4 linked regions of the Coturnix japonica genome follow. The protein of the gene in region 1 interacts with the protein of each later gene in a pairwise test. Links are inferred from orthologs where the notes say so. Each region holds a gene or a part of one and is shown on either strand. Other genes may lie near its edges.

Evidence for each region. The genes of interacting proteins can lie anywhere in the genome.
Region 2: the proteins of SPG21 (region 1) and PRPS1 interact in binary tests that used the Homo sapiens proteins (3 or more experiments, as listed by UniProt). The two-hybrid records come from large-scale screens. The link is inferred for Coturnix japonica from reciprocal best matches to the Homo sapiens genes SPG21 and PRPS1.
Region 3: the proteins of SPG21 (region 1) and S100B interact in binary tests that used the Homo sapiens proteins (3 or more experiments, as listed by UniProt). The two-hybrid records come from large-scale screens. The link is inferred for Coturnix japonica from reciprocal best matches to the Homo sapiens genes SPG21 and S100B.
Region 4: the proteins of SPG21 (region 1) and REEP6 interact in binary tests that used the Homo sapiens proteins (3 or more experiments, as listed by UniProt). The two-hybrid records come from large-scale screens. The link is inferred for Coturnix japonica from reciprocal best matches to the Homo sapiens genes SPG21 and REEP6.

Annotation. Positions count from the first base shown.
Region 1 is NC_029525.1:16,061,624-16,065,909, reverse strand, and holds part of SPG21 (maspardin), read left to right. Parts: intron 1-1,426; coding exon 1,427-1,588; intron 1,589-1,697; coding exon 1,698-1,778; intron 1,779-2,373; coding exon 2,374-2,519; intron 2,520-3,023; coding exon 3,024-3,132; intron 3,133-3,616; coding exon 3,617-3,724; intron 3,725-4,119; coding exon 4,120-4,260; intron 4,261-4,286. UniProt on the Homo sapiens protein: May play a role as a negative regulatory factor in CD4-dependent T-cell activation.
Region 2 is NC_029519.1:1,921,546-1,927,501, reverse strand, and holds the start of PRPS1 (ribose-phosphate pyrophosphokinase 1), read right to left. Parts: upstream 3,916-5,956; 5' UTR 3,724-3,915; coding exon 3,602-3,723; intron 1,653-3,601; coding exon 1,469-1,652; intron 1,129-1,468; coding exon 1,030-1,128; intron 1-1,029. UniProt on the Homo sapiens protein: Catalyzes the synthesis of phosphoribosylpyrophosphate (PRPP) that is essential for nucleotide synthesis.
Region 3 is NC_029522.1:2,449,452-2,455,260, reverse strand, and holds S100B (protein S100-B), read left to right. Parts: upstream 1-1,894; 5' UTR 1,895-2,319; intron 2,320-3,573; 5' UTR 3,574-3,588; coding exon 3,589-3,726; intron 3,727-3,959; coding exon 3,960-4,100; 3' UTR 4,101-4,852; downstream 4,853-5,809. UniProt on the Homo sapiens protein: Small zinc- and- and calcium-binding protein that is highly expressed in astrocytes and constitutes one of the most abundant soluble proteins in brain.
Region 4 is NC_029543.1:2,271,956-2,277,724, reverse strand, and holds REEP6 (receptor expression-enhancing protein 6), read left to right. Parts: upstream 1-1,854; coding exon 1,855-1,969; intron 1,970-3,590; coding exon 3,591-3,684; intron 3,685-3,806; coding exon 3,807-3,945; intron 3,946-4,096; coding exon 4,097-4,265; intron 4,266-4,401; coding exon 4,402-4,493; 3' UTR 4,494-4,508; downstream 4,509-5,769. Other genes in the region: PCSK4 (proprotein convertase subtilisin/kexin type 4), read right to left, coding at 7-95, 192-268, 673-801, 928-1,023, 1,103-1,207, 1,539-1,856; C28H19orf25 (UPF0449 protein C19orf25 homolog), read left to right, coding at 5,112-5,256, 5,345-5,523. UniProt on the Homo sapiens protein: Required for correct function and survival of retinal photoreceptors. Required for retinal development.

The DNA of each region.
Region 1 (4,286 bases):
TAGAACAGTTCAAACCCCCTGATTCATTGAGTTTGAGGAAAGAAACTTTACCTCTGAGCCTCAGTTCCCTTCATAAGTCAGGTGTTGCTCCTCATCTGGAAGTACTCCTTAAGATTCTGCTGTAGCCATTGACAGCTACCTTGAATGTCTCCAAAGTTACTGTAGAATAACAGCTGAGAGCTGTAATTTCTGGAGATGATGTGAAGGGTTGATTTTTGGGAGGCTTTAGGAGGGCTTTTGTGCAGGGTGCTGGGGGGGTTTTTGTGTGTATGTGTTTTCTTAGTGGCTTCAGTGGTCTGGGAAGCCCTGCTATGTAATCTGTCTTTCTTTGTTTCTCTTGGAGATCTCACAAAACAGCAGTATCATGTGATTCCTCACATGTTCCCAGAGCTTGAAATACCGGCTTTATTACAAGCAGATTTGTTAATCAAGCAAAAATGATACACTGTTCTCTAACTCCCTGAGCAGCTTAATTGCTGTGATGGGAAAGTGAATTATGCTTCTATGCTGCTATTCAAAAAATTACAGAATCTTGACACGTGGATGAACTCCTGCTGTGCGATGCAGCTTTCCTTAGATTTGTGACTGTTGATCTGGAATGAGCTGCATGCTTTTTGCTGGGGTGATGAGGGTTGAAACCAGCATGCTAAATACACACAACAGCTTGTTGGTAGGTCAGGCCCTGTAAAAGCGAGCCAGGCTTCAGCAAGGCTGGAGCAGACAATCGTTACCTAATTCCTATACTTCTGAATATACTATTTCTGCTGTGACTTCTTGCTTCTGGCATGTTACGTGCCCTCTGTGAGCAGCTTGTGGTGGATAATCTGCTTCATCCAGCTGTGTCGTAGGGACTCCAGGCTCTCCTGACATGTGCTTATTTCTTTCCAGGTCAGCTGTGCAGTGCTGCTCTGGGAGTTGAGTACATCCCTAGCAATCAGGTGTAACTGCTTTAAATCAATAATTTGCAGTTAGCAGCATAATTCAATAGACTCACACACATCCAGACCTGTAACATCTTTTGTCCAGTAAATAGGAGTTAGTTAAAAATCAGACCCTGGGGCAATGCAGGCTCTTCCAGCCTAAGGCTGCTGTTCTGGGTACTGTGAGCTGGCCCCATGGTTCTCTTTTGGGCCGTGGCACAGTGGCTCCAAGCATATTTCTCCTCATGTGGAACTGTATAAATGGGTCTGACAGTGCCCGGTTGTAGTTCTGTCTCCAGCTCCATCCTTGGAAACATCATTGCTTAGTAAACAGCCTTAGAGAAGAAAGTTGTTGTGAGAAATAAAAGCTGGTCTTATTCAATAGTTTTGGATACCGTAATATTTACTGAATGACAAATATTTTGTAGTAGCAATCCTGGAACATGCTTGAAGAAGCTCATTTCAGTCCTGTGTTTCTCACCCCTTCTCTTCTCCTCTTCTTCCAGATAATAGTAGATGATGATGACAGTAAAGTCTGGTCGCTGTACGATGCAGGACCCAGGAGCATTCGGTGCCCGCTCATATTTCTTCCTCCTGTAAGTGGAACTGCAGATGTGTTTTTCCAGCAAATTTTGGCACTGACTGGATGGGGTTACAGAGTTATTGCTGTGAGTATCATCTAGAAACCTTGAATGTGAGAATCAGTGTAACTTTGTAGCAGGAGGTTGACGTCTGATGATTAGAGACTGGCTTTTTGTGTCTTGTATATTGTTTCAGTTGCAGTACCCGGTGTACTGGGATCACCTTGAGTTCTGTGATGGATTCAGAAAACTGTTAGACCACCTTCAGCTGGATAAAGTGAGTGCCCAGAGATGGATATATAGCTGCCATAAAAACCTGATGCTTGAAGGCCTCATTTAAGAGCAAATGTGAAGTTCACAATGCAAAACCAGCCTATAAAGAGGCTGTGTTCTTTTGAAACTAGTTTATTTTTGAAAGGAAATTCCCTTGAAAATCTGACTGAATTCTCTGCTGTTGGAGGCTTATTACATTGGGTTGCTAACTGCATTTTTCTTTCTTGCTGAGATCCTGCTGAAGTTATCCTTCATAACTCACATTGTACAGAATATCACCATAAAGTACCTTGGATTGGAAAAAACATTGAATATAAAGTGAAATGATTACATTTTACTTAAGCACGATGAGCACACAGAAATTAGAAGCGTGATCAGGAAACGCTTCCTTTTTTTGGTATTTATCTCTTCTTGTAAATCAAAGAACCTACATTGAAGGCCTTTTTGTTCTGGTTTTGTTTTGTTTTGTTTTTCCAATTAAAAATGAGCTATAAGGACAAGGTAAAACTTGAAGGACTTTTTGTAACGTGGCCCTTAAGGGTCACTTAGTTCTCAAATGTAACATGACCTGTTTGTTTTGGTTTTCCTTTTTGAATTAGGTTCACCTTTTTGGAGCTTCTCTAGGAGGCTTCCTGGCTCAGAAATTTGCTGAATACACACACAAATCTCCCCGAGTTCAATCTCTGATTCTATGTAATGCCTTTAGCGACACTTCCATCTTCAATCAGACATGGACAGCAAACAGGTAAGGAAGACCGAGACAAGCAATGAGACTGGTGGCATTAATGTGTTTTCTGATGAAATTCCACACTGATCTGGTTCAACATGTGTTTAACTTGTTTTCAGCCTGCGTGCCTAATGGTGAGGGCTGGAATACATGTGACTTTTAAAACCATACTATAAAGGAAACAGAAGTTCTCACAATTGGGAGTGTGGAATTTGACAGACTCCTCCTGTATTTATTTCCTGTGATCATTTAAGGACGTGGTCAGACTTCAGAATTCTACTTGATTTCCAGCAAAACTTTTTAGAGTGAGGAAAGTGTTATTCACAATGTTTTTAATACACCCTTGCAATGCAGCAGCTTTCCAGAGCATTTCAGTCACATATCTGCAAGTTTTTCCATCTCTGCTCTTGAAGCATCTTCACGATTTCATTTGAAATTCTTGCACAAAAGTCAGTGCAAGAAAAGGGAAGACTTAAAAGAAAGCATCTTAATTCTGATTGTTACGTCTTGTTTCTGTTTTAGCTTTTGGTTAATGCCTGCTTTTATGCTGAAAAAAATTGTCCTTGGCAATTTTGCATCTGGTCCTGTAGACCCTGAAATGGCCGATGGGATTGATTTCATGGTGGACAGGGTAAGTGGCTGTGTGCTCCAATGGCTGTAATGTCAATCTTTGTGAGATATTCACTTAGTAGATGGGAGGTTGTAGATATTTCTGCTGCTTTCTTCATTTACTTACCCAGAAGTGAACAGTGGATGGATTCTCAGCAGGTGTTGGCTGCAACAGCTCTTGCAATTTAACTGGTGCTGTGATTTGTCTACCTTATTGTTCCATTTATCTATGTATATTGGAAGAGAGGTGGCTAAGAAAGAGATGGAAATGGGAATAAGTGCTGAGATAGTAGGCTATGCTCTAGAGGCAGGAACAATTAATTAAACGTTCTAAGTATTTGTCTCATGCAGCGAAATATTAAGATGGAACTATGATCTTCATCTGAAGTGCAGTCATGTTTCCCTTTAAAACTAAAGAGCTGTCTTCTCTTTGGCTCTGCTGTTATTATTGCATTAACTTCCTGCAGTGAAATATGTTATTAATCACAATTTGTCTCTACTGAAAGCTGGAGAGTCTGGGCCAGAGTGAGCTTGCCTCGAGACTTACCCTCAATTGCCAGAACTCTTATGTGGAACCTCATAAAATCCGAGACATCCCCGTAACTATTATGGATGTAAGTTTATTTCAGCTTAATTTTTTAAATACTTTTTTTTTTCTCCCAAACATCATTTCCTCCTCTTGGAAAGCAGGGCCTGGATATTGTGTTCACAACTTAATAAATATTTGCACCATCTAATTTTGTATTTAAATAGTTTTTCTACTGACTGGATAAGACAGCGGCTCTTCTGTGTTGAATTAATGGCTGTTACTGCACAGAACACCCAAATGTTTATCTATCAGTGTTAGCTTTCTAGTCACTGATGCTTAACTTGTTTGCTTGTTTTCTGTTTCATTAAAACTGCTCCACAGACAAGCTGGCAACTGCTTCTAGAAACAGGGTCTGTCAACTTGATTTAATAAGCAAAATCTGACTAGACTTAGAATTAACTGTTGTCACTTGTTGCATAGGTGTTTGACCAGAGTGCGCTCTCAACCGAAGCGAAAGAAGAAATGTATAAACTTTATCCTAATGCCAGAAGAGCTCATCTCAAAACAGGAGGCAATTTCCCTTATCTCTGCAGGAGCGCTGAGGTCAATTTATACATTCAAGTGAGTGTCTGCATTCAAACCTAATC
Region 2 (5,956 bases), on another chromosome or scaffold:
GAAAGGTGACCCCCACAGCAGGCATTGCTGCTCCGAGACACCCACTGCTGCACTCTCACACATTTTCTATCTGAAATGAAGCATTTGTGGGCAACCACCACACCAGAATTCACACCGACATGTGAGTGGCTGTGTTTTCAGTGATTAAGATGAGAGCAAACCCACCTACTTCACCAGGAAGTACATAGCCCACCTCTCAGGACTCAAAACACTTGCACCAACACAACAAATATGCTACAACCATCCAGGTGTAAACTGTTTTCTTGGTCTCACTGCTTGTTCAAGGTGGAAAGAAGCCAGAGTAACACCACCTCGCTGTCCCTCCTTTCCCTGCTAAACAGCTCCTGCTGTTCCAAAGCAAGCCCTGGTCAAAATTCCAATTGCTCTGTTGAGATGGCTCATTTCCAGCAAACCCATTGTTTTCTGTTCACCAGCAGCTTGGGAAGGGATCAAAGCCAGCCGTAGAGGACGGGTGGAATGAATACAAGCAGAGTTGCCCATCTCATCAGCAGCACGCTTTCATATAACTGTCCTGGTCAAATGAATGCTCATAAGCAGCTGTGCCAGCAACACCTGGAGGGTGTGGTAACCTCAGGGCAGCAGCACTGTTACCTGCACTGTGGCAGCGCTGCTTGCTCCTCCCTGACTTTCCTGCATCAGGAAGTTCTGCTCAATATTTAAGAGCACTAAATAAAACCATTCTCCATCTGAAACTCCTCCCAGGACCAATTAAGAACACAGAGTGCCCCCATAAGGTGACCACGTTGCACGGATCATTTACTAAGCCATCATTTATACATGGCTTGTTACACTTGGTCTAATTGAGAGCAGCTACGATCTTATTTACAGAGGAACCTACTGCCCACCTCCCCACCCCCCTTCAAACTGACCCTACAACTCCCTTCCAGCCCTGTGCTCTTAACTGCTGACTGCTGCTGTAGCTAAAAAAAGCAGATGACAGGAAAGCCTGCAAGGCAGTAAACAGGCTGAGATGGGAGCAGCTAAGTGCTTCCTGATTTCAGTTCCTACCTGAATCTGAGATGCGTGCAGGTCCATTGTGATTATGTGATCTGCTCCTGCCACAGACAGCATGTTTGCAACCAGCTTGGCAGAGATCGGGGCTCGGCTCTGGGACAGAAAAACAGAACACAACACTATTTAAGACAAGTTTAACTCCTTCATCAAGATGTGAGTCCTCCACCTCTAGGCAATGATTCACAAGCAGCTACTAAAAGTACTCATTAACACCACATCTTTTCATCAGCTTTGATTACAGGTTGGTGTATTTCCAAGCATCTTTGTGGAGATGAATCTGCAGCTCGATGCCCTCAGGTTTAAGTTAAATTAAGTTTTATCTCTTCCTCCACATATTCAATTCCAGCTAAACCCTGGCAGCCAGGCAGGCCTGCCGGCCTCTCCAAGCGTGCACATATCTTCCCCCAGCAGAACCCCTTCTTGAATCCCTTACCTTGTCCTTTTTGTCCTGCCGAGCATAAGGGAAGCAAGGGATGACAGCTGTGACTCTGCTGGCTGAGGCAATCTTGCAGGCATTTATCATGATAAGGAGCTCCATCAGATTGTCATTGATTTCCCCACAGCCACTCTGCACAATGTAGACGTCCTCCCCACGTACGCTCTCGCCTATTTCCACACTGGAAACAGATGGGGAAAGAAGAGTTGGATCTAAACAGAAATTAAAGCTGCAGTTGTTACATAGGCCTGCACAGAGACCAAGGGGTTGCAGTCCTGAGGGTCTGTGGGTGACAGCACCATGTAATCACGGGTGTTTGGCACGAACACTGTTGCTTGTTTGCTCAGTAGCTATTTCATAGTACTCACTGCTCACATTTAATGGTTCAATAAGGCTGAAAGCGCTCGGCCTCTGCTTTTAATCTCTATGCAATCTGAGCATGTAAACCCCACCCTCAAACAGTTCCTGTCCCCCCAAATCACAGAACTACAAAGCAGGGATGATGGCCAGTCAGCAGGGAAAGCCAAGCCAAGCTTCCAACAGAAGCCGTGCTGCAGCAGATTATTCTATTAGAGCCCTAACAGCTTTTCACTGCCTTGAACAGAGAAGCCCTCCAGCTTTTCACTCTGGAAAGGCTTTTGGGGTTAATTTCCTCCTAGATGTAATGCACACTAATCCCTGCTGATGAAGGCACTGAACACAAGCCAAAGGTCCTGTTTGCCAGCAGCACGCCGGCAGCTCCAACGTGTGTTGAGACACCCGCACCCAAAGCGGGGCTGGAAGGCATGCAGCCATCTCAGGTCTTCTCAGCTCTGTAGAAATGCTGTCCAAGATGAAGCCCTAAGTGCTGCAACAGTGAAGTTCAGAGAAGCCTGTCACAGATGTGGAAGGAACCCAGAGTCACTCGAGAGAGGATAAATCCTCCCCCAGCTTCTTCCAGTGCTGGGGATGCCCACATCCTGCAGCAAACTACAGGAGCATGTGGGAGGGTGGTTACCACCCCCACCCCCCAACAGCTCTGTGCTCAGAGTACCTGAAGATAGACCTTTAACGTTACTCATTTACCATCTCATCTTCCCCCTTCAGCTTGCTTTTGCTGAACACCTGGCCTTGCTGCTCCACCTCCACCAGCAAACTGCTAACTCCAGACATCTTGCCGTGCTTATTGCTCACAAGCTGCTCCAGGCTATCGTGGAGACCTTCCCAATGGGCTAAACTGGGCTGAACTAACAGCACACGGTGTCATTTTCCACTGCACTTTAATACCAGAGCTTAACATTAGAGCTCATTCAAGAGTGTGAGTACAACCGAACCGCTCTGCTCTTTTCCAGCATGGGCCCTGAGCTGATGGAGGTAAATAAGATCCATTGGATGTTCAGAACCTACATCAGTGCTCACACAGGGACCTGCTGGGAGGGACAGGGACATGAGGACAGAGCCACGGCACCACTGTACATCACATGGAGCCTTATCACACCTATGTGCACGGCATCATGGCAGCAGTTACAACAGCACGTAATGGAAACAACTCGTGTCTGAGACTTCTGGGCAACCACTCAGGATTCCCGTATCACCCCGGATATGGCACATACAGCTGCTTTCCTCGAGATATTTCCTATCGTGGCACCTTAACCTCTCCTTTCTCCTTAACTCCACAGACACAACGAGGCCGCCGCTTCCAGGGCCGTATGTGTGTGTGTCTGTGTGTGTATATGTGTGTGTGTCTGTGTGTGTATATGTGTATATGTGTATATGTGTATGTGTGTGTGTGTTCCTCCCCGCACACCTGCACGCACCTCCAGCCCCGCCCCGGCCCCAGAGGACGCACAGTCCGGCCCTGAGCCGCCACATGTCGTGCAGGGGGCGGCCCATCCCCGCTCCCCCGGCGTCATTTGGCCCCGTTATCCCCGCGCCGTGCCCAGCCCGGATCCCGGATCCCGCACCCCCAGCGGCCCTCTCCTCCCTTCCCCTCCCTCCCCTCCCTTCCCCTCCCCTCCCCTCGGGCCGCGGCCGCCCCCCGCTGCGCACTACAACTCCCAGCAGCCCCCGCGCGGCGAGCTCGGCGGAAAACGTTCCGTGGCCGGCGCGCTGCCCGCCGGGAGCTGTAGTTTGGCCCCGCCCCCTCCTCACCATGTCTCCTGGTTGCTGAACTTCTTGGTCACCACCTTGCCCAGCTCCAAGCCCAGGCGGTCGGCGATCTTCTGCGACAGGTCCTGGTGCGAGCTCCCGCTGAAGATCTTGATGTTGGGCATGGCGGCGGCTGCGGCGGCGGGAGCGCTGCCCTCCTCCTTCCCCTCGTGCCGCTCCCCGCTCCGCCTCGCACCGCGGCCCGCTGCGGCGCTGGGATCCACCCGCCTCCTGACAGGGGACGCGGCGAGGAGAGCGCAGGCCACGCCGGCCGCGGCTACTCCGCCATCTTACCCCTTCCCGCCAGCCGCGCGGGCCCTTTATAGACTCCTCGCGCCCCAACGGACACGCCTTGGCGCTCTCTCATTGGCTACGCCGCCTCCGGGGGCGGGTCCTACCGCGACCCTCCAATGGCGTGCAGGGCGCGGTGGGCGGGGCTTGGCCTGCTCTGCCGAGCGCCCAAACAACGGCCCTCCCTGGGGAGCGGCGAGGTGTGCGCGCGTGCTCCCCAAGTGGGCGGGGCGGAAGGCAGGAGGAGGCGTGTGATTGGTCGCTGCCTGTCCGCCTGCCCGGCGATTGGCCAGAGGGGCCGCGGGAATGTGAGGGGGGTTGGGGGGGGTAGAGTTGGCCACGCGCTTGGCGCCCCCCCACCCCCCTGCGGCCGCCATGATGGATCCCCCGCCTCAGGGCTGGGAAGTGGCCGTGGAGGAGAGCGGGAAGGGCGGGCTGCGGCCCTTTGCCTCCAGTTTGATGCTAAAAACGCCTCATTTCGCTAATAAAGTCAGAAAACAGCAGTCAGATGGTCTGCACGGCCGCTCACATCAGATGTGTGGGTGTTGCTGACAGCGCTGCTCCAAAAGCTCATGGCTGCCATTACCCCGTATTAACAACAACTGCGCTTCAGCCCTTCTGTGTTTGTCCTTCTTACCATATGGCGGCTTCACATCTCACAGTAACCGGGGTTAATGGCTGCACGAGCCCCCTTGGCTGTGTGATTCTGGTTCAGACTTCTCCTCACTCTGGATATCCTGTGGGATAATAATGGATTTTTGCCCCTATATTTCGGTGATAAATCTCTATATTGCAACAACAGCCTGGAGGCCTCCCCTCCCTGCACACAGCCTGCAGAGGGTCTGCTGCCTCCTGAAGGATCTGGGATGGGTAACTTCCAGGCCTGGACATATTTGATTCCCAGCCATTTCCCTCAGCCTTGGCTCAAACGGGGTGTTGGACAGCAAGGTGGTTACAGGACAAAAGTCCATCCATCTTAACCATTTATTGCTCTTAGCACAGGATAACGAGAGGGCTTTCTTTATCAAGGAGCTTTTAAGCAGCCTGCAGCTAAGGCCAAGTCAAACAAAGCCATGGAGCTTGCTCGGGAGGTTCCCCTCCTCCAGCTTTGAAGAGAGGTTTACGTGGATCTGCCTTCAGCTGGAGGCAGGCAGGGGTTGGGTGGCTGAAATCCATAGGCTCCAGTCTGGCTGTCAAAGGGGCACTCTGGAAAAGGACTGGATGTGAAGGTGGATGGGAGTATTTTTAAGTGCCCAATCCAACGTGGCTTGCTTCAGATCGAAAGGCAAATGTAATCAACTGAATTACCCACTTACAGCCTAAGGAACTGTATTTAATTGCCATTTGCTTTACCTCATAGAGTGGTACTCATTGGCTTTGGTGTTGGGAGGAACCATCCGGGAGCCTGAGCTGCTGTGTTCCCCTTTGGAAATGCATTGGTGTCCAGCTGCAGAGATGCTGAAAGGAATGGCACTGCTCCCCTTTTATTTACCCGACAGCCTGGAGGTTCACTGAATCAGAAATGGAGCTGTGTTCCATGGCCTAGGAATATATTGTCCAGGAAGCTTTAAGCAGCTCATTCACGCCATGGGATTTCATGGCCATGCCAATCAATACAAGCAGCCCTTTTCCCTCTCTTGGCACATTCCTGCATACAATTGCTGCTCAATCACCACCACTTCCCCCAGGACCCATTTCCATGCTCAAAGCGTTTGGCTGCGAGTTTTGTTTTCCTTCTCTCTGCCTTGTGGGCCATCCAGTTAATGAATGACACTGGGTAGGAGCAGCACAAGTCTGCCCTTTGGTGCTGGAATTCACCACATCCAACACATTCACTGCTATGAGCTATGGCTCACCTCCACTCTTAGGGCATTCGGATGTCAGTCTGCTTTCCAAAGCTCCCACTTAACAACTCAGAAAACCTTATCATATGCTCTGGATGCATTTCTGCTGGCTGCTCCTTTTCTGCTGCTTCTCTGCCTCTATCATCTTTCTTTTCCACAGGGATTATTTTCAGATAAATCCCCTGCTACTATCAAACCCTTGAGGATCAAATGAGAGCTGTCT
Region 3 (5,809 bases), on another chromosome or scaffold:
AGGTTTCCAGCTTGGGTTGCATGGCAGTGTCACGCCATGCATGCTGTCATCCTTTACACCTCAATGGCCACGGCCCCTCCCTCACTACCCACAGCACCATCCAACATCCAATGCTGAATGGTAACCACAAGAATTTACGGCCAGCACTGTGGGCTTTTTGTCCTGAACTTTGCTCCATCTGATTTACACAAGTGTCACCCTGCAGCACAAAGGAACCCGGATCGCCCTGAAAGTCAACAGGAGGAAACTTTATTGCCAGACCCAAAGTAGAAGGCACCAAACACCCACTGACCTCGTGCATCAGACAACAGAAGCCAGTGTAGCATCTCTGTGCCACGCACGTCTTTCCAGCACAGGTTTGTGCAGTGGCTGTGAAGGAACCTGCCCGTGCCCCCTTTCCGTGCCTGGACCCGCTGTGCCGGACCCACCCTGGCCCTGACCGCCGGGATCAGGAGCTGGTGGAAGGAGCCACCACCCATTGCCAGCGCCCGGCGAGGGCTGCAGACCTTTGTGCGCAGTGCTGGGTGCGCCGTGTGTCTGCTGGGCATCCCCATGATGATGGCACCGTAAAGCCATCGGCGTGTTTATGAGGCAGCCGTGCCCGTCGGGTGTCAGGGTCCCGTATAAATACGGGGTGCCCGAGGCCGGCCCGGACAGCCCGTGTGCCGCGTGAGGACGCCGCCGGTCCCGCCGTGCTGTCCGTGCGGTCGGTTGTGCAGGTGCTGAGCGGCAGCGGCCGGCGGGGTGGGAGGCAGCAGGGCCGGCTCTTCGGTGGAGCCACGCGGCCCCGAGGCCGTGGGCCCGGCACGGGGCTCGGCTGTTCCTCGCCGCCCCGAGGGGCTGCGTGAGGCCGGGGTCGGGTTCTTTGCATCAGCGAGGGAAACCACGAGCCGGGGTGGTGCCGGGACTGCAGAGGGGAGGGCGGCTGCAGCTGGGACCCCCGGGAGGGTCGGGGTGGCCACGGGGACGTGTGTGGGACAGGCGGTGCCGTCCGTGCGGGGCCACACGTGGGCTGGAGCCCTGGGGCCACGGGGACGCCCGGCACGAGGGTCGCGCACGGCAGGCAGCGCTGACAGCGCGGTGCTTCCTTCCGTTGCAGCTCGGGGCCGTGAGAAGATGTCATCCCCACACCCAGGTGAGCGCCCGTGGGAAGGGCTCGGGCGGCCCTGGGGGTGCCCGCGCTGCCAGGCCGCTCCGTGCCCACGTCCCCTCCCGCTGCCCGCAAGCCCGGCCGCGCCCGGGTCCAGGAGCCTCCCACGGCGGCCGGGGCACTGCAGCTGCAGCAGAGCCGCGTGGCCGCCCCGCAGCCCTGACGCTCCCCTCTTCCTGCAGGGCCACACGGAGGGCCGCCGCCGCCACATCCCGGGCCTGGGCACCCACCTGCACCGCACGGCCCTCCCGGGCATCATCACCCGCCCGGCCATCATCCTCCCGGCCATCATCCGCCCGAGCATCACCCGCCCGAGCATCATCCTCCCGGCCATCACCCGCCCGGGCACCACCCGCCGGGCCCCCACCCCCACGGCCACCCCCACTAGGCGCTGAGCTCTGGCGGCAGCCGCCCCCGGCCCGGCTCCTTCTGCGTCCATCGGCCGCCCCATCGCCGCGCTGCCGCCGGGCTCTCCCTCCGGCCACGCGCGGCGGCAGCTGTGCCGGCAGCAGAAGCTCGGGCTCGGGTTGAGGTGCGCAATAAAAGTCCGCTCGGTGCCTCTGCGCTCGCTGTGTTTGGCGGACGGTCTCCGCGCCGCGTGCCGGCCCCACGTGCAGCAGATGAGCGCAGCGCAGGGCAGCGCCGCCGCTCGTCCGGGCGCGGGGAGACGGACGGAGCGACGGGGTTCGGGCTCCCGGCACACGGCCCGCCCCTCCGCGAGGCTCTGCGAGGGCACGGTCCGCCACGGGCGCCGTCGCCTCGGTTGTAGGCGCGGAACGGAGCGGCCGCGCAGCCCCTGCGCCGTGCGGAGCCCCCGGGCCGCGGGTGGGAGCGTCGCGCAGCTCCGCTGCTGCTCGTCGGCTCCGTGCGGGCAGAGCTGCGGCACGGCCACGCTCCGGCACCGCGCTGCTCAGTGCACGGGGTCTGCTTCCCCGCACTATTCACAACGGCCGCCTCCTGTAGCAGCCCCCACGGCCGCCGTGGGTCGGCTGGGCGCCGATGCGCGTCCGTGTGCCACTGCGCACAGCCCAGCCCGCTGTCGGGACGGCCCGGCCTCCCTTTGCCATTGGTCCCGGGCGCTGCGGCACGGGTGAAGCTCCACGCCCACGGGCATAAGAAGGCGGTCAGCCGCTGGGATGCAGCCGCAGCGTTGAGCATCGCCAAGGGAGGTGAGAAGGAATGGGGCTCTGGGTGGGGTGGGGGAGCAGCCGACGGGCGGGCTGGTTGGCTGGTTCGCCATGGTTCTCTGCCATTCCGGAGCTGAGATCTTTGCTCACCGCAGAGGCCGGTGCAGAGCTGAGTTAACCAATGGCAGACATTTACCCCTGCGGTATGTATTTAACGAGGACCGGACACCAAACCGTTGCGTTTTTTAAGCCCAGTGTAAATGCATTGAGCAGCTTCTGGGAAGGTGGATTTGCATCCCTCCCTGTCGGGTTATTTTTGTACGGATATCTGTGGAATCTGCAGGAATAGCTGAAATTATTGGTAGTCCTGCACCAGGTCAGATGTGCGAGGAAGGCAGGCAGAGGAGTTGCCCTTGTTTCTTTCTATTTGCAACTATCAAAATCGAATCCTCATGCCCTCCCGACTGTTCATTTGGAAGTGGGCCTGCAGGCAAGAAGGGCAGAGGTGTGGGCACCTGAAATAAAAGGGAAAGCAAAGCCTTTCTGAAATGCATCCCCCCACCCTTACCTGCTCCTGTCCCCAACTTGCCAAGGAAAGCAACGGGTTGACCAGTAGGAATAAAAGAGTTGGGTGAGGTGACAATATGCGTGATTAAACGGGTGCTCCATCAGCTGAGAATGTGGCACAAGGACACTGTCCAGTTCCTGCCGCACTTTGATAGTGGTTTGAGCCATCTGAAAGTGGGCTTCCTTCCCATGGGGAGCGCCAGGCAGCAGCACTGAGATGCAGCCCAGCCACGGTGAGACCTGGGGGAGGTCCAGCAGATCCAAGGCAGCTCTGAGCCAGAGCTGGAGCCCCATCCTGGGCACAGACCAGTGCTCTGTGCTTCCCGCAGCCCATTTCTGCTATGCAGGTTTCCCAAAGGGGACTGGCAACACAAGCTTAGCAAATGACCCTGTCCCAGCTGACAGCCAGCTCAGCACATATGGGAAACGCAAGAAGCCTCCAGGATTTTGCCACCCATCTCCTTCCAGTTTTCTCTCCCACGCTCTGCACACTCCTGTTGGTTCCAGGGAATGCACCTGTCCCACTGCCACCACTCCCTGTGTTGCAGCTCACCTGGAGCACTCAGAGCCAAGGCCCCTTAGAACCACAGATCCTGGGATCTTCTCTGAAGTGAGAGCCACTGGCAGAGCTTGCCTGTGCTGCTGTTGGGTGGGGGGTTGCAGCAGGGCTCTGATGCATCACTGCAGCCTAACCCTGCTGATGTGCCCGTCGCCTCCCTCTGATCTCAGGACTGTGCTGTGACCATGTCTGAGCTGGAGAAGGCCATGATTGCCATCATTGATGCTTTCCACCAGTACTCCGGGAAGGAAGGAGACAAGCATAAGCTGAAGAAATCGGAGCTGAAGGAGCTCATTAACAATGAATTAACTCATTTCCTTGGTGTGAGTATTGCCCTCTACATAGCACAGCTGGGCTCAGGCTCCAGCTCCCCAGGAGCAGGTGGTGGCAGGACAAAGCCTGTGTCAGGGCTGGAGGCTTGGGCTGGACACTAGGGAGATTTCATTCCCTGGGACGGTTTATCACCCTGTTTATCACCCTTACCCTGTGGGGCTCAAGGTGCCCTGGTAGGGCTGCTGTTAAGCAGATGCTACTACATCCATTTCTGCCCTTTCAGGAGATCAAAGACCAGGAGACCGTGGACAAAGTCATGGAGGCACTGGACAGTGATGGGGATGCAGAGTGTGACTTCCAGGAGTTCGTGGCCTTCATTGCCATGGTTACCTCTGCTTGCCATGAGTTCTTTGAGCACGAGTGAGCTGGTGAGAAGCAGCTGAGCAGCTCCCACTCACACTGGAGAGATGCAGAGCGGTACCACTCCTCTTGGGAGAAGACTGGATGCACCTGGGGGCTCCATGAAGTTAAGCTTGCGCTACTTAAGCAGCTTATTAAACTCTGCAGCTTTGTGAGCAGAAATGCCCATGCATCTTGGGAAAGCCTCTTAGACAGCGCCCACCTGGGATGGCATGTGTTCGAATGCCACATCTCAGGCTCACTCCCTGCTGCTGTGTGCAAGGGACAGGCAGCGGGCTGGAAGCAGGTGGCCGCTGCAATCCTTTAGGTTGCTGGCAAAGGGAAAAGGAAAATTCAAGGGGTGAGGCAGGGCGTGATGCAGAGAGGCTGGTTATAGAGGCCTGGCTCTGAGCCCATTGGCCTACACAGAAAGACTCTGTGATCTCTGTGGGCTCTGACTGCCCCACGCATGCTACTAACCCTGGAGCAGAGCCCATGCAGTCCTTGGCAACTTGAGAAACTCCTGGCTTGAAAGGCAAAGCATAACCATGTAACAGCCCAGGCTTTTCTCCTGCCTATGAATCCTCCTGCTTATAGCTGTCCGCAGAACTGGAAATGAAAGCATAGGAGGCTCCTGGGCTGGGCCTGAGGTGCACATTGGCAAGCTCTCAAGGCTCAGCCTGAAGGAAGGGTGAAATCCATATGTTATCAGCTGCAGCTCCAGAGTATGTGGAAACAATGAGAATAAAATGTTGGTCTTTGGGCCATAATGCGGTTCTGGTGAAAAATGAATCCTTTTGTCTCCGGGCTTTGTACACTTTGTGGCTGCTTTGAGTTGTCAAAGGTTGAGGATACAGCCTCGGAGCACCGCTGAAGTTCACATAGGCAGCCAGTTCATTTACCTGGGGTTCTCTTTCAGCTCCCATCACCTATCAGTCTGCAATTGCCATCTTGTGCTCCACCAATAACTGAAAAGGAGGTTTTGCTATCCTAAGGTAGTGCACATCCAAGTTACTTATTACGTTTCTGACATCCTCATCACTTGTCCACCACTGGTACAGACTGTACAGACCTGAGGACGTGTAAGGACAATGAATGAGGACTGATCAGACAGGGCACCAGCAGATAGTTTCTTCATATTAAATGCTCTGTTGAAATAAGAACTACTTGCCAGCAATACTACAAGTGAAGTAAAAGGAGAAAATATGGCAGCAGGGAGCTGAAATGTTTAACAGACTCAGACTTTAAACACTGGAGAAATGACAGCCAGGGGCAGCTTTGGTGCACACGCCCTATATTATGGTCCCACGCCACAGCCTTATTTCTATATTGGAGGATTTGAAGGCTGGACTAATCACTGGATTTATCCAGTGTGGATAAATCCATCCATCCAGAATTGGATGGTCATAGCAAGAGAGCTGTTGTCAACAGCTCTTTGTCTACATGATGGCCAGTCACAAATGGTGTACCCCAGAGGTTGGGCTTGAGATCAGTGCTCTCCTCCAGTGGGAGGACAGTTGGACTAGATGATCTTGTAGGTCCCTTCCAACCCTATGATTCTATGATAAGAACACACTGAAATCAGCTCTGTGGAGAACTTGAGGGTTCTGGAGGATGAAAAGCTAGACATGAGCCAGCAGTGTGTGCTTGCAGCCCAGAAGACCAACTGTATGCTGGGCTGCATCAACAGAGGGGTGGCAGCAGGGAGAGGGAGGTGATTGTTCCTTCTTCTCT
Region 4 (5,769 bases), on another chromosome or scaffold:
GCTCACCTCCAATCTTTGCATTGTATGCAATGCCTGCACCGCAGATCCCGTTGTTGGCTACGGCTGCTGCCTCTCCTGCACAGCGTGTCCCATGTCTAAGGGGCAGACACAAGAGATCCATCCTTGAAGGGGGCTGAGTGAGTGGGGTGGGCTGTGGGGGTTTCAATGCAGAACCAGAGGATTCAACTCACCTGTTCTCACCCCAGGTGTCGTACCTGGGCTGGGGGTCAGGGTCGTTGCTGTTGAAGTCGTAACTCGCGAGAGGATCCTAATGCAACAAGGGCTACCAGTGGGACCAAAGCACGTTGCCAAGAGGCAGCCAGCCAGCACAGGGAGGTCCCTGCATGCCCACTGACTGCATTGGCCTCGCCTGAACCTGCAGGGCTCATTTAAACCCACGCTGCTCTGAACTGATTAAGGTTCCCCTGTTCTCTTTGCTCTCTGAGCACGTGAGGCTTTACAAGCCCTACTTGCTTTGCAGCTTGCTGTAATTACATCTGACTATTCTGGGGGCTCAGCCGTACACAAGTTCTAACATTTCCTTGCTGTGAGAAATGATGGCAGAGAAGCAGAGCCCTTTGATCCCACCCCATATCCCAAGGGCTGCAGAGCTGCACCATCCCCTCCCAGCCCCAAAACTCAAAGCTCTGCCCAAGGGGGGAGCTTGGTTACGTAGTTAGGAGCCAGGTCAGGGTGATCCTTCTCAATTCCATCATCCAGGATGGACAGCACGACCCCTCGGCCGGTGAAGCCTTTGCTCCAAGCAGAGAGGATGTTGAGATCAGGGCTGATGTCGTTGTTCTGGACAAGGGATTGGGATGGATCAGTGCATCCTGCTGCCTCATCACTGCTGGCATTAGTCCTGCTTATGCTCAGGGCAGGTGATTGAGGACATTGGGATTAGATGGGAGAGCAGCACCATCTCACCATGTACCACTGCTTGGGGAACCAAGGGTCTGTGGGCACCACGTTGATGCTCCTCTTGGCTCTGATCTTCACTGTTTGCTGCTCAAACCAAAGAACCTGGGTGGGAAGCAGCGTTGTTGGCACTATGTGTGTTCCCATAAGGGTGCCCTGGTCTAATGTGCAGCCCAGCCCCTACCTGTGGTTCCCTGCTCAGCCTCAGGCTCCAGCCCCAGTGCCTGCTCAGGGATGTCTGCCTGGAGCCACGGTGTTGGAAGTGATAGTAGGGCTCTCCATCCAGCACCTGCAGTGAGGGCTGAGCTCAGGGGGCTGCATGGAGATGGGCAGAAAGAAATGGGGGGGGGGGGATGCCAGTTCAAAGTCTGCTGGGCTGCAGGGTGGGAAGGATGCTTTGGGATCATGGAGTGACTGTAGGGGCTGGGAGGGACTTCTAGAGGTCATTGAGTGCATTCCCCTGCCAAAGCAGGCTCCCTGCACCACGATGGTGCTGGAAAAGGGGCTGCTCTGCACCATGCACGGGCTCCCTCTCCTACCTATGCTTGTAGCAGGTAGCTGTGCAGCCCTATAGGACCCCATATACCCCATACACAGCCCTACAGCGGGTCGGACCTCACCTGCCCCACGCAGATCAGCCCGTACCGCTGTGCCAACAGCCCCGCATCCCTCTGCCCCTCCGCGACCAACACAGCCCAGCTGCTCAGATAAACGCTGCTCGGAGCGTCGTGCGGACCCGCTGTGAGCCCCAAACCCACCCCCAGCCCCACACCCAATAACACCCCCAGCCCCCACGCCCCCCCTATGCCGTGCGGTGTCGCCATGCCCTGCGCTCTGCGTGCGTTACCATAGAGCTGGAGACGCCACCTGCCCGTCCCTCCCCGCTCCGCCCCGCACAGAACCGGGACCGCATAGGGCCGAGCGGGGCCCGCAGCCATGGGGACCGTCCAGCAGCGCCTGCAGCGCTTCCTCGACCGACCCGGACCGATCTCCGACCTCTTGGGCCGCCTGGAAGCCCGGACCGGTGTCCGCCGGTTTTACCTGGCTACAGGTGAGCCCGCAGCCCCACCGCGTGGACCCCTTCCCCTTCAGCCCCCTTCCCCTATTCCGGGTCCACCCCAGCCCCCTCCCCTTATTCCGGGTCCCCTTCAGCCCCCTCCCCCTATTCCGGGTCCCCCCCCAGCCCCGTGCTGCGCTGACAGCCCCACACTGCCCACCCTGGGGAAGGGAGGAAGCTGCCCAGGGGAGCCGTTGGTTATTTAGGGGAGGGGGTGTCTTCCTCTTCCCCCCCTTCGATCCCAGCCCCACATGGTGGGCTTCACAGAGCCCTGCCCTGCCCAGTGTTGCTCCCCACATCCCCCTGCCCTATGGAAGCCTGGCTGTAGCATGGAACCAAGCCCCCAACCCCCAGCAGGAGGGCAGAGGTCTGTTCGTTAACCAGCTGCTGTTTGTTCATTAACGAGAAACAAGTGATATCTCCCCACGGAGCCGATCCCGGCACCGTTTGACCCCCTCGGTGAGGCTGTCACCTCAACCTTGGCCATTTCTGTGCCTTGGCTGCGTTTATGACTTGCCATCTGCCTCCACGTTGCCATATGGAACCTCCTTATGGGGGGGGGGGGGGTCTGGGTTTCCCTGCTGTGCCCCCAGCCTGATTCCTGGCCCCACGGCTCCTATAGAGCTTTGGTTGCTCTGCTGGGATCTGACACGTGTTTGGAGCGCTGGTTCTGGGGCTCTGGTTGCACTTTGGGCTGTGGGTGACAGGGATAGAGCAGAGTTGTTGTTCCTGCAGCTCAGCTCCGATGTCTGGAAAGGAGAAGCTGATGCTCAACAACAAATATCGGGTTTCTTCCTCCCTTCCCCCCCACCCTGCAGCAATCCCTCAGCCCAGAAGGGGCTGCTCGGTATCTTATAAAGCAGCCACAGACCCAACAGCTGCCTCTGTAAAGGGTAAAGGGCACCAAGGAGGAGGACAGCATCCCCTCTGTGCCACATCTGCTTGTGGATGGGGATAAACCTTTGCCAAGCTCTCCATTCAGTGCTGCAGAGATGAGGCTTCACTGACCTCCTGTCCTGTATGGGAGGCAGAGATGGGGCTCTGGGTGTGGGAGCCTTGGAGCAGCTCCTCCACCAGCCTGATCAGGACCCATAGGACACAGAATCCCTTCCTCCTCCTCCTGTGTTCACATTGTGGGTTTAGGACCCCGGGATGTGTCTCCTTCCTGCCCTCCTTCACACAAGGCTCCTCTGTGTTCAAAGCTGAGCCTCTCCTTTGTGTTTTGCTCTTACATAAATTTCTCCGGGGCTAAACTTAGCCTGTGCAATCCATTCTAAGGCTCTTTAGGGAATGAAACCCGGAGCTGCCTGAACCTGCCTGCTTATTTCCCTTGGAGGGGGAAGCTGTAACTGCTCCCACCAGCTGGGAACAGCGCCCAGCTCCCTTTGCAAAGCCCAGAGGTGCCCATATGAGCACAGAGCATGGAGCAGATCTGCTGCTGTGAGCAGCACAGGGATGAGCCCTGTGTCCTCTGTGCCCCTTCCCTCTGATTCACTGCCACAGACAGGCTAAGTCCCAGCTCTCTTGCCCTGCTGTAGGATAAGGTGCTTAAGCTGCTGCTAAGCAGGAGCTGAGACACCATTGGGGTGGCTGAACTCTTGGCTCTATCCTGCAGGCTCCTTGGCTTTCGTGGGGCTGTACCTGGTGTTTGGCTACGGTGCCTCATTGGTCTGCAACCTCATTGGCTTTGCCTACCCTGCATATGTCTCGTAAGTACTGACCCTACAGCTCTGGATGGTCACTCCTGAAACACTGGGGAGTTGTTATGGGGCTCATTGCCAGGCCTGGAGATATGGGAACAAACCAGTAATTGATGTCCTCCATCCCATAGCATCAAAGCCATCGAGAGCTCCAGCAAGGAGGATGACACCACGTGGCTCACATACTGGGTGGTGTACGGTGTCTTCAGCATAGCCGAGTTCTTCTCTGACATTTTCCTCTACTGGTTCCCCTTTTATTATGCTGGGAAGGTAACGACTTCATGGGGGCACAGGGGAGACCCCCCCTTTGATGGCTGAGCTCTTGTGGTTCATGTATTGAGCTCTGGGGCTTCCTCTGGGCACCTTTGGCAGTACTGGGATGCCCATACAATCCAGCTCTGCAGCATCTCTTCCCCTATAGTGCCTGTTCCTGGTGTGGTGCATGGCCCCAGTGTCCTGGAATGGCTCCCAAGTGCTTTATCACAGCATCATCCGACCCTGCTTCCTCAAACACCACCGTGCTGTGGACTCGGTGCTCAGCGACCTCAGCACCAAAGCACTGGATGCAGCCTCTGCCATCACTAGAGAAGGTAACGTGGGTCCAACCCTCATCATGGGGCAGCTCTCAGTGCCCCACACCCCTCCTGTATCCCACCCCATATCCCCACAGTGATGGCAGCCCGGCCCTTCTCTTTATCTTTCTTCTTCCTACGCCTCCTGGAGCAGTTCTACACACTCTGCTCAGCAGCAGAGCCCGGCTGGCTGCCCAAGTCACCCCGCAGCTCAGCGTGTCTGTATGTAACAGCCATATCCCATAGCCCAGGTCCTGCTCCTATAAGCCCCGGTCCTATAAGCCCCTCTCCTATAACCCCCTCTCCTATAACCCCCTCTCCTATAACCCCCTCTCCTATAAGCCCTGCTCCTCCAGACCCCTTTGCTTTAGCCCACCCACTGTAGATATAGAGCAGGCTCTCCTCACCCCCCAACCCCCCCATCTCGGTGGTCTCAATGCAGGTCCCGACCCTCACCCTTCTCTCTTTCTATCCCGCAGCCGGGGCCGCCGTGAAGTTGGCACAGGAAGCGAAGAACAAATAAAGCACCGGGACAACGCCGGCCTCAACCCGTTCCCTGCTCCCCCGGCCCATCCGCGTCTCGGTTCCCCCCCCCCTTTTTCCCCCCCCTCCCCAAAGTAAAGCTGTTCCCCATCCACTCCCGTCTGTCGCGGCGCCTTTAAGAGGGGGCGTGGCTTCGTGGTGGCGCGGTTGTGACGTCATTAGTGCGCGGGAGAAGGAGGGGCGCGCGCGCGGGAAGGTGGAGGTACGGCAACCAGGAAGAGGGGGGGGGGGGGGGGTCTGTCTGTCCGTCTGGTTTCCTGGCGGGTGAGTGTCCGTCTGTCCCGGCTGTGAGCCCCCCCCTACCCCCCCCAGAGCCCCGCCATGAGCTCCAAGGCCAAACGGGTCCTGCCCACCCGCCCCGAGCCCCCCACCGTGGAGCAGCTCCTGGCCGACGTGCGGGGGGCGCCTCCGGCCGACCCCGTCCTCATGATCCCGGCTGAGCCCCCCCGGGACGGGCCCGCACCAGGTGAGCCCCACAGCGGCAGCATCAGCGGGTGGGAGGGCAAAGAGCACCGACCCCCCCCCTATTAAGCCCCCCGTACCCCCCTATACAGGGCAGGAGGACGGCGTGGATGAGCAGGAACGGCTTTACCGGCAGTGCCGAGGTTACGTGGAGATGAACCGACGGCTGCGGGAAGCTCGAGGGGAGCTGGCAAAGAAGCGAGATGAACTGCAGAGATCGGGCATGGCACTGGAGAGAGACATGGCCGAGATGAGGCACAAGGTGTTCTGAGGTCGGGATACAGCGTTGGGGTCTCACCTGGACCCCCCCTACCCCTGGCTGCCTCCCAGTGCTCCCAATACACCCACAGCAGCACACAGCTCTGCTCCCTGCCGGCACCATGTCCACGCAGCACAGCTTCACCTATGACTTCTCCATCTGGTACTGCCCCGAGGATCACTCTGTCGCCTCCATCATCGCTGAGTTCTTAAGGACAAAAGGATTTCGGGGCTACTTGGAGCACTGGGACCAAGTGGC